Linked DNA regions of Coturnix japonica. The protein of the gene in region 2 binds, or shares a complex with, the protein of the main gene of each other region. Links are inferred from orthologs where the notes say so. Each region holds a gene or a part of one and is shown on either strand. Other genes may lie near its edges. The genes, in order: REV3L, POLD2 and POLD4.

Region 1 (3,649 bases), on a different chromosome or scaffold from region 2:
CCAGACTGTCCTTCACTAAATGCTGACGGGGCCACTATAGTCCTGTTCTTATATTGGGAAATGGGTTTTGGTTGTGTCGTTGTTTCTGGCAGAGACTTCTGTTTTACAGTTTCAGGTTTAAAATGCGACATTTCCAAAATAAATCCTCTCTGTTTTTGATCCCAATTTAGTTGTTTCACTGGACTCTTCAAAGAGGTTACAAAACAGTTCTTAGGCAACTGAAGAGGCCCCGGACTTTCCTCAGATGACTTAGGAACAGAATTAGAAGGATCAGAATGCTTGGATGCCTCTGGTATACAAAAAATCTGCTGCTGATTATTGTCTTTACAATGCAAATAGCTAGTGGAATGCAACTGATCCACCTTCATTGAGTCTGAAGACTCACGAGCTTCACTTAATTTCCCAGCTGATGGTAAATACCTGTGTTGCAAATTTTTTATCTCTTCTGCTTTTACAAGGGTCTTATCTTTAGAGATGCACACATTCTGTGTTACCTGAGTTGAGTGATTAGATGAGTCAAATATGTTTTTAACAAGAGCAGATTCCTTCATTCTAAATACAGCACTTTGAGTCCTGGGCCTTTGAGAGCTCACTTTCAGTACTTCTCTTCCGGATGCCACAGAAGTTGATGTGAGAGATGAATGAGGGTCTTCTCGTGGAGCAGGCAAACACTGTGCATCTAAAGGCTTATCAACTTCCATCAATGAATGAAAACAGTCTGATGAATTACCTTGTGTATCAGCTGCTGAGGGAAATGGTGCTGATGGCAGATACCCTGCTGTAAAGCCAGGAAGAGGACCATCTCTCCGATGATGAAGCGGCTGCGAGTTGTAAGACATCTCAGGCAGATCTTGATGTTTCAGCACAAACTTCACTTCTGTGGTTGAATGATTATTTCCTTTTTCATCTTTAAAAACCATGCGTTTTCTTGAGGACATTTTTTCTGTTGTTTTCTGTCTTTGTTTCGTTCTAGGCTTCTTCTTTCCATCATCTGCTGTTTTATCACTCTGATTCATCTTTTTCTTTTTCTTTGTAGATACAGTGGGGCTAGCAAATTTCTTTTTACATTTCTTAACCTGAGTTTTTGCTCGACTATTTTTTCCTACATTAGAATTAACAGTCCTGTTGTTGTACATACTACCCCTACTATGTAAAGCTTCTCTGTCCAGGTTGGTCAAAATTTCTTCTGCTTTTGGATCAGTGGGAGACCAGCAGCGAGGTGGCGATGTGTTTACTGGGCTTGTGCTTCTCTCAGAAAGAAAACCTAATTTAGACATAACATCACTATAGTTATAGTCACAGTCTTCAGCTTCAGCATTATAGGATGGTGAAGGAGGAGAAAGAATTGTGTGAGTCCTTTTCCTGAAAGATAAAGTTCTTTTAATATTATTTTTACTACCTGTTCTTTGCAGTTTTCCAGCTTTTTTCTTGGTTGACTTATGTTTCGCTTTTCTTTTGTGACTTTTCTTTGGTGTTAGTGGATAAATAGGATATTTGGTTGCAGGAGAGTCAGGAACTTTTGGCCAAAAGTCTTTTAAAGGTGCAAGCTTTCTATATAAATTCATCTTTTCTTCTGTGAGTACCACTCTTTCCTCAGTAGAATCTACTTTCCCTAGTTTAACAAGCATATTTTTTCTCCCTCTAAATCTATTGATGATAATATATTTAATAATAACAGGTGGCAGTTTTTTAGAAAGTCTTCTACGTTTTCGAGACTTCTGAGACCCATCCAAACTTTCAACACTATCTATTGGTTGAGGTAGATTAATTTTTGAGTTGTGTGCGACAAAGCTTGATTCACTGTCTTCAGTCTCATAATTTACCTTTCGTTTAGTTCGGAGTGTGTATTTATTTCCACATAATCCAAACGACTGCTCAGTTTCAAGAGATCCATCTCCCATCTGGCAGTCAGTACAATGAGCAGTACTTGTAGGCATTTTGTTTTCAAAAGCCTCAAGAGGAACTTGGACTAAGTCGCTAGGTAAAGCACTATCCTTATCAGGAATATTACTACAAGCATTACCTTGTGTATAGCAGCTTTCCTTCACTGATACAACATCACTCACAGTTGCGGGCTCCTGATGATTGATAAAACTATATTTCTTTTTATTCAGCTTCAACCTGGACTGTTTGTTGCCTTGGTGTAATTTATACGTCACAGGAGCTAACTTTTGTGGTCGGCTAAGACAGTTTGAAAGAACAACACTAGGAAAGAACATATAATGTGCTGCTTGTTGACTGAGACTTGGCTTTTCTGCTTTATGCTCCTGAAATTCTTCATACCTAATTTTAAGCTTATTAAGGCCACCTTCATCAGTGTTGTTTTCAAGTGAATGAACAACAGTTCGGCTGCCTCCTGAACAGGACACCAATTCACAATTTTCTGTAACTGTTGCTGGAAAAAAACTATTTATACTTGCGCTGCTGGCTTTTTCATTTAGTTCAGAGGATATTTTACCTTTGGAGTGGCCAGAGTGGCTCAAATCAGAAAAGTTAAAAGAATTTTTATTCAATATGCTGTCACCAATGTGGCGGCCCACGTGCATAAAAGAGACATCCTTCTCAGTCTTTCTGATGCTAGTATACTTCCTGCTAGGTATCTGTCTGCTGACTGATGAAATATCATCTTCATACTCAAAAATATTATTTTCACATGAAGGAACTGGGAGAGTATCTTTCTTGTTACTCTCTTTATGTGAATTTTCTGCATGGGTACTATTGCTGAATGATGTTGGGTACTTTGCTGTGTAAGTGCTTTCTTTTGTAAGAGAATGAACTGAAAGTTCAGGTCTTGTTTCTGTGTTTGGTTGCGAGAGGTCTTCTACTAAATCTTCGTTATTCAAAACGTGGTTAGAAAGGGCACTTGTGTGTTTACACTGAAAAGTAATTTTAGCAGAAGACGGGGGTTCTAGCGTAGCAGCATCTTTGTGAAAGATTGAGGTCTTTACAGACATTTTGCTTGTTGCAATGACGGAGGAGTGAGTTCGAGAACTTTCATTATTCAAAGGATTGTCTGAAATGGAAGACAAGCAATTTTACTCTAGTTTTCCTGTAAAAAAAGAATAACTAAGCTATTAATTATTTTAATGATATTTTCACAATAGCCCCCCCATACCAGAACAGTACTCTTCTAACTCACATTCCAATTATGATCATGACAACTACAGGCTCCAAGTACATGAGTTACTTTATCAAAATTACATCATTAATACATTTGTGTCTTAAGATATTCTGTCAGTTACTTATAAATTAAGGACTTGAATACATTTCCCATAGATTTCTCAATGATTTGCTTAGAGAAAACTTCAGAAATCATTTTCAGAAAGCTAAATACAAAGACATTAACTTTTAAAAAAGCTTGTATCCTGCTTTGTCCCTGAGAAGCATGCATGCTTCCTGCTTCTGAAAAGGAAAATAACATACAGGCAAAGTATGATCTTACAACAGCAAGGGCTTTGTATCAACCATCCTGTGCAATAAGTGTAAGACAGTTTGCTGTACTTTTAAAGCAGAGCAGTCCAACACCCATTCAGGTGTGTATATGAGGAGCTTGCTCCATTTAGTTAGATCATGAATTCATACCCATGATTACTATTTCCACAAAGTTCTACAACCAGCACACGCTGAGGTACTTGTGCAGTGAAGACTC
Region 2 (4,161 bases):
ACCGGGACCCCGCACCTCCTTACCCAGCGTGTCGGGGGCTGTGGGGCTGATGTGTCCCGCCAGCAGCGTCCACTCCAGGATCTCCAGGTAGTCGTCCAGGCTGCTGTACTTGAAGATATCGCTGATGTTTTGCCCTGACGTCCCCAAAAACCTGTATTTTGAGGGTGGATCTGTATTCAGTGCAACCTGCAGCACAACCCCACACCACCAGCGGCATCCCAGCCTCGGTGACACTGTGCCTCACCGGACGCCATCTATGTCAGCCTGGTAGGGGTTGGTGACGAGCTGCAGCGTGGGGTAGGCGCTGGAGAGGGGCAGCATGCAGCGGTGCAGAGGCTGCTGCGGCAGCGTGTAGTTGGTGGGGTCAAACTCTCCGGGCATCACGTCCACAGGCACGGAGCTCTGCAGGCAGAGTGAGGCTGTTGGGGGCCTGCGGGGCTGCGGGGGCCGCTCTGCCAGCCCAGGCACTCACGCAGAACTGCAGCAGGATCTCATCCAGCATCTTCACCGCCTCCACGCTGGCAGCCTGTGTTTTCTTGGTCAAATACTTGGCCTGCGGCAGTGAGGATGCGGTGAGGAGCACGATCTCTCTCCATCCCTCCCTCCCACCTACCGGCCCCCCCCACTCTCCCCATACCTTGTGCAGGCTGTCCCGGCTCTGTGTGCTCTGGCTCAGAAGGTTCCCGGCCAGCAGGACACGGGAGATGAGAGCAGCGCAGCTCTGCTGGCCCTCAGCACCCAGCTGCCCCGTCACCGCATCCACCAGCAGCTGTGTGCCCAGCAGGGACTCGCCGCTGCCGCTGCCCAGCCCCAGCCCCGACGCCAGCAGCACAAACCTGGGCGGGGGGCAGGCAGAGGACTGCAGCCCCCATCGTGTCCCTCAGGATGGATGGGATGAATGGCTCCCAGGGCCACGTGGAGACACAATGGGGACACGACAGGAACTCACCTATCGGTGCTGGGACCGCACCACGGCAGCTGTGGGGGCAGGTGGGCAAAGCAATGCTCCTCCACCAGGAACTTCCCATCCTCCTGCTCGTGGCCGTACACAGCCAGCACGGTGCCTGCAGCGGGTGGGGGGACACTCAGCCTCACCATCACCATCTGGGCCACCACCGCCCCACCGCCGTCCCCTACCTGTCACCAGCCTCGATGCCTCGATGTTCCCCGTCAGCTTGATGCGCTGCAGCTCGTCCTCCAGCACCAGCTCGTCCGACGGGTCCACGTACTTGGCCAGGGGGGGCTGCGGCACCAGGTTGTGCTGGAGGGTGGGGAGGACGAGAGCGAGACCCCCGGTTCAGTGAGGCTCACGGCCTGTGCTGGGGCTGCTCTCCAGCTGCTTTCACTTAGTGCGCAGCCAGCACGGCAGCCAAGGAGGAAGCGGTGGGGAGGGGGGGGTGCTCAGCCCTACCTCCTCATTGATCTCCTGCAGGATGGAGGGCTGCAGCCGCATGGCCTTGAACAGCGTCCCCACCACGCAGCACCGCTCCCCTGTCTGCAGCTCACACAGCTTCCGCAGCAGCACATTGTCACCTGCGGGGCCGGGAGGTTCAAACAAAACCATGACACATCGCTGCCCCTGGCACCGTGCTGAGGCTGCTCCATAAAACACCCCCATGGAGCTTCCAGGCCTCCAGAGCAAACCCCCCATCCCACAGTGCTGGGAAAGCGGCCATGGAAGGGTGTAAGGGCGACCCCGGGGTGTGTCACCATGCTGGGGTTTGGGGTGGGAAGGACGAGGATGAGTGAGAGGGGACGGGGGGACAGAGGGGACGGGGGGACGGGGTGGGATGAGGGGGGTGATGGGGGCTGGGAACAGCAACAGCAACGTTAGGAATGGGAGTATGTGGGTATGGGGGTATGGGGGTATGGGGGTATGTGGGTATGGGGGTATGGGGGTATGGGGGTATGTGGGTATGGGGGTATGTGGGTATGGGGGTATATGGGTATGTGGGTACGTGGGTACGTGGGTACGGGGGTATGTGGGTATGGGGGTATGTGGCTGCCTGGGGGCAGGAATCAGCTGAACCCGGAGCTCCATCCAGCTGCAGCCCCACTGTGTGCATTGGGGGGGGTCAGTGTTCCCAAATGAGAAGCAGAGCCCAGAAACGTGCGGTGGGACAGTGGGGGGATGGGACGGGATGGGGGGTGCACCGGGGGGAGGTAACGGGGCGATAACGGGGCGATAACGGGGCGATAACGGGGGTGGGGGTCTCGGGGGTCTCACCCCATCGGCTCCGTGCCCGCCGCTCCAGGCGGGGCCTCATTCCCAGCAGCCTCGTGCTGTACAGATGCGCGTATTGTCGGGCGAAGCTGCGCTCCCCCAGGCGGAACGGAGCGGAACGGTCCGACACGGAGCTGAGCGAGCGGGGGAACGGGGCGGGGGCGGCGGACGGAGCGGACAGAAGGGACTGAACCGGGACCGGCGGGAACATGGCGGGGCTGGGGGGGAACGGGGGGTCAGGGACACCGGGATGGGACCCGGAACCACACCGAGTAACACCCCACGTGACCACCGGTACCGAGTAACACCCCACGTGACCGCCGGTACCGAGTAACATCCCACGTGACCACCGGTACCGAATCCCCCCCCCACCGGTGACACGTGACCCCCCGGTCCCCTCTCACGACCCCTCCCCCCCCGGTTGCCCCCGTTACCCGCACTGTGACCACGTGACCCTCCCAACTGCCCCCGTTACCCAAACTCCCCCCTCAGCCCCCGGTACCGGACCCCCATAAATCACCCCCGGTACCGGACCCCCCCCACATCCGGTTCCCACACGGTGCCGTACGGGGTCAGAGGTCAGAGGTCACGTGGTGACGGCCGTCTGCACACGGCCCGTGTCGCACCGGGGGGGGCACCGAGTGGCGCCAACACGGGCAGCGGAAGCGGCGAACCCGCGCGGCGGAAGTGACGTCAGAGCGGCGGCGCCATGCTGACCGCTGTTGCCATGGTGACGGTGAGGCCTGGTCCTGGGTCCCACGGCCCGCGGGGTGAGCGGCGGGACCACGTGACCTGCGGGCAACAAACAAACCAACATGGCGTCACGGGCCGAGCAGGGACATGGAGCCGCCGTGCCCACAGTGACACAACGACACAGTGACACAACGACACAGTGACACAGTGACACAACGACACAGTGACACAACGACACAGTGACACCGCCGTGACGAGCGGGGCGGAGGTGTGAGATGTGTGAGATGTGTGAGCTGTGGGGCGGTGTGAGATGTGGGGCGGGGGTGTGGGGCGAAGCGCTCGGTCCGTGCCCATTTTAAGGCCTCGTTGTGTTTCCTTCACGCTGAGTGGCTCCTTCGGCCCCACCGCGGGGTTATAAAGGCGGGTGGGACGCGCTGAGCTGCGCTACGGGGCGACATGGCGGCTGCGATCATCGTCATGATGGCAATGGGGGCCGGTATGGGGCGGATATGGGGGGACATGGGATGGGAACGGGGGGCTGTGGGGTCAGGGGGGGACATGGAGGTGGTGGATATAAGGACATGGAGGTGGATATGGGGATATAGAGGGGGTGGATATGGGGACATGGAGGGGGTGGATATGGGGACGTGGGGTCAGGGGGGATGGGGGTGTTCAATGGGGCCGGAGGTTGCTATGGGGCAGCGTGGTGACCCCTTCCATCTCCAGTGTTGCAGGTGGTGGTGACTGAGCCGCCCCACGATGACCAACGGGACGTGGCTGCTGGGAGCCCCTGGGAGCAGCAATGGCAGCTGCTGCAGGACGGCTCGGCCGTGGTGAGGATGCGCCCTGGTTGTGGGGCACGTTGTGGGGCAGCCCCGTGTAGGGTTGGAGCGTGGGGCGGGAGGGTGGGTGGCAGCGCTCTGAGGGTCTGTGCTGTGCCCACAGTGGGATGAAGGGGACGCAATGGGACCAGGCAAGATGAAATGCAGCGCCTGCGTCAAACTGGTGAAGAAGCTGCAGAAGATCGTTGGTGACGACCCCGATGAGGTGAGTGGGGCTGTGAGTGGGGGGTCCTGGCAGGGTCAGGGGGCCCAGTGGCTGCAGCCCCACTAACACCCTGGGGCCGGGACCCACAGGAGGCCATTGGCACAGCACTGGGCCAGGTCTGCGGTACGAAGAGAATCCTGAAGGGGATCTGCAGGCAGCTGGGGAAGAAGCTCCGGCAGCAGCTCAGCGACGCGCTG
Region 3 (2,967 bases), on a different chromosome or scaffold from region 2:
CTCAGCATCCCACCCCGCAGGCACCGCTCAATGACAGCTACAGGAACCTGAACAGCGCCTTCTACTGGGACCTGGGCGCCTACCGGGCCCTGCTGGAGAGCCCGGGCTGCCTGCGCTGGGACTCCGCGTTCCACATCTTCGGTGGCTGTGGGGACAACCGCAGGGACACGGGAGGAACGAGGGGGGACGGGGGCGGGAGGTTGTATCAGGAACGGGTGGTGCTGGGAGCGTGTGGGGCACGGTGGGGGAACATGGGGGAGCAGAACCCTGCTGCTGCCACCCCCAGGGCTGCAGGATGGCGTGCTGACCGTGTCCCAGGACATCGCTTTGGCCAAGGGCGTGGAGCTGGAGGTGACCGAGTACTACACGTACCTGCACCCCGACCCCAGCACTCTACCGGAGCCACAGTGAGCCTCAGCCCCATCTCCCCCTGTGTCCCATCCCAGTCCCTGTCTGCTTGTGTTTCCTTGTTTCCATTCCGGTTCCTATCCTGTACCTCATCCCATTCCTGTCCACAGCCCTCTCCCCAACTCAGTCTTGCCCCATTCCGTACACATCCCCAAACTTATCCAGCACCCATCCAAGCCCCGTGTCCATCTCATACACATCCGTGGCCACATCTGTTCTAATGCTAATCCTAAATGTAACTAGTGCTCACTCTAACCCATCCCATTTGTGTCCCCAGCCCCATCCCATCCCCAGCCACGGTCAGGTCCCAGTCCCATCCCAATCCATGTCCCCATCCCAATCTTAACCTTAACTGTAACCATAACCTTACCCCTAACGTGGACACTAACTGTAACCATAACCTTAACCCCCCCCATCCCCGTTTTCCTGTCCCTCCCCGGTGCAGGCTGGACCCCGACATGCAGCTGGGCACACTGAACCCGGCACACGTGGAGTTGCTGGACTCGACGTGGCCGTACGGGGGAAACGAGTGGAGCCGGCGCTACCTGGGGGAGCTGCTGCTCCGGTTCCCGTACCTGTGCCTGCAGGACCTGGCCGGGGATCTGCTGTGCTGGGTGCTGAGCGACGGCTTCGCAGCGGGAGCGCACGGTTACACGGTGCCGGCCCAGCGGCGCCGCGGGTTGATGCGGGCGCTGACGATCATGGCCGCCCGGCGGTCGCACGGCCGCGGCTTCCCGGTGTACGGTCACACGGCCACGGGGAACCGGGGCATGCAGCGGCTGCAGGAGGAGCTGGGGCACCGGCGGCTGCCGGGGCTGTGCCGCTTCGTGCTGCACAACCCTGCACTGGCGCGGGCTGCGCCCTGAGCGCACCGGGGAGAAACGTGTCAATAAAAGCAAACGAAGCGAAAATGAACCCGCTGCGAAGTGAAAAGGGAACGAGAGAGAAACGGCAACGAGCCGAGAAGGGCCGAGAGAAAAATAAACAAGGGACCAACCGTGAGCAACGTGAACAGCCGAACCTTTCCGGCTGCAAAAAGCGAAGCGCCAATAAACGACCCGACCCAACAAACCGAGACGGAACGTCCCGACAGCACATAAAGATACAACAACACTAAAAAAGATTAAAGAAAAACGGCCTCCAAAGCAAATACAGCCGAACCGAAACCGAAACCGGACCCGAACCGCCCCGCCTGCTGCCCGCCGGACCACAGCGGCGTCTGGCGGTGCTGCCAGAGCGGGATGAGCCGGGGGACGGGGAACGGCGGGCGGCGAACGCGGGGCCGGACGGAGCCGAGCGGGGCTGGAACCGCCGCCGCCCCGCAGGGAATGGAGCGCACCGGGCGCATCACCGACAGCTTTCCGCGGCGGCACCGCGCGGCGACACGCGCCGACGGCAAAGAGCGGAGCGGAGCGCGGCGGGGGCGCGGCGGAAAGGGGCGGCACCGGGGGGTCCCGCCGGCATCGCCCCCGCCGGATTCCCCACGCCCCGCAACGGAGGACGCCCGGGACCCCCCCCCAGCGCCCGGTACCGCCTCGCGGGAGCTGCTGGAGATGCTGCGGCAATTCGACTTGGCCTGGGAGTACGGGCCTTGCACCGGTGAGACCCCGGCGCCGCGCACCGAACCCCGACCCCCGGCCCGACCCTCCCCGCCGCTCACGGCTGCCCGTTCCCCGCAGGCATCACCCGGCTGCAGCGCTGGGAGCGGGCGCGGGCGCTGGGGCTCAGCCCGCCCGCCGCCATCCGCGACGCCCTCCTGGAGCACCGGCACGACCCCGCCGTCACGTACAGGTGCGGGGCGAGGGTGGGGGCGGCCGGGGCGGCGGGCTGACCGTGCACTGACCGTGCGCTGTGCCCGCAGCCTATGGCACGAGTACGGCCTGTGAGCGGACGGCAGGACGGGCGGCTCCGGGACGGCACCGCGGTACCGGCACGCAGCGCCGCTCTGTGAATAAAGCGGTGAGTGCGTTAACTGCGTTAACTGCGCTAAGTGCGGGCCGGGGCCGGCGCCTGGTTCTCACGGCAACCGGGAAGGCGCCCGCCCGCATCGCTCGTAAGATGGCGCGGCGGCGCCGAGACTACACTTCCCGTCGTGCCCCGCGAGCACGGGAGAACGGGGCGGAACCGGCGGCGGCGCGCACGGCCCGCTGGGGATTGTAGTTTGCGGCGGCTCCGCGGAGCTGGGCCGCCTGTCCCGGCACACACGGCTCCGCACACGGCCCACGTCCGTCCGCAAGGTTTATTGTGCCCGGCGGTGCCGGTGGTGGCGGCTTAAGGTGACAAAGTGCGTACGGAGCGGCGTGGCTTCCCCAGGCCCCGCCCCCCCGCAGGTCCACACGCTGCTCGCAGCGCTGCCCGGGTGGGGGCTGTGCCCGGTGCCCCCGCTGTGTGCTACGGGACAACGGGGGGGCTGTGCCCGCTGACCCGCTGCGCGCTACGGGCCGTTGTCCTCCGCAGGGTCGCGGTCTCCATCTACGCTGGCCTGTCGCACCACGCGGCACGGCCGGGACCTGGGCCGTGCTCCTGGGGGGGCCGCCTCCACGCTCGCCCCGTCCCCCG

Evidence for each region.
Region 1: POLD2 (region 2) and REV3L share a complex: the UniProt entries of both Homo sapiens proteins name them as parts of the tetrameric Pol-zeta complex. The link is inferred for Coturnix japonica from reciprocal best matches to the Homo sapiens genes POLD2 and REV3L.
Region 3: POLD2 (region 2) and POLD4 share a complex: the UniProt entries of both Homo sapiens proteins name them as parts of the tetrameric DNA polymerase delta complex. The link is inferred for Coturnix japonica from reciprocal best matches to the Homo sapiens genes POLD2 and POLD4.

Annotation. Positions count from the first base shown.
Region 1 is NC_029518.1:60,208,784-60,212,432, reverse strand, and holds part of REV3L (DNA polymerase zeta catalytic subunit), read right to left. Parts: intron 3,014-3,649; coding exon 1-3,013. UniProt on the Homo sapiens protein: Catalytic subunit of the DNA polymerase zeta complex, an error-prone polymerase specialized in translesion DNA synthesis (TLS). Lacks an intrinsic 3'-5' exonuclease activity and thus has no proofreading function.
Region 2 is NC_029537.1:62,665-66,825, forward strand, and holds the start of POLD2 (DNA polymerase delta subunit 2), read right to left. Parts: upstream 2,926-4,161; 5' UTR 2,793-2,925; exon of another isoform or gene 2,781-2,792; intron 2,443-2,780; 5' UTR 2,436-2,442; coding exon 2,228-2,435; intron 1,534-2,227; coding exon 1,412-1,533; intron 1,262-1,411; coding exon 1,138-1,261; intron 1,065-1,137; coding exon 950-1,064; intron 837-949; coding exon 638-836; intron 554-637; coding exon 473-553; intron 403-472; coding exon 245-402; intron 152-244; coding exon 24-151; intron 1-23. Other genes in the region: antimicrobial peptide NK-lysin, read left to right, coding at 3,374-3,413, 3,644-3,750, 3,863-3,964, 4,054-4,161. UniProt on the Homo sapiens protein: Accessory component of both the DNA polymerase delta complex and the DNA polymerase zeta complex.
Region 3 is NC_029520.1:154,619-157,585, reverse strand, and holds POLD4 (DNA polymerase delta subunit 4), read left to right. Parts: upstream 1-1,450; 5' UTR 1,451-1,649; coding exon 1,650-2,007; intron 2,008-2,087; coding exon 2,088-2,199; intron 2,200-2,269; coding exon 2,270-2,294; 3' UTR 2,295-2,385; downstream 2,386-2,967. Other genes in the region: glycine N-acyltransferase-like protein 3, read left to right, coding at 21-141, 287-407, 854-1,274; SSH3 (protein phosphatase Slingshot homolog 3), read right to left, coding at 2,843-2,967. UniProt on the Homo sapiens protein: As a component of the tetrameric DNA polymerase delta complex (Pol-delta4), plays a role in high fidelity genome replication and repair.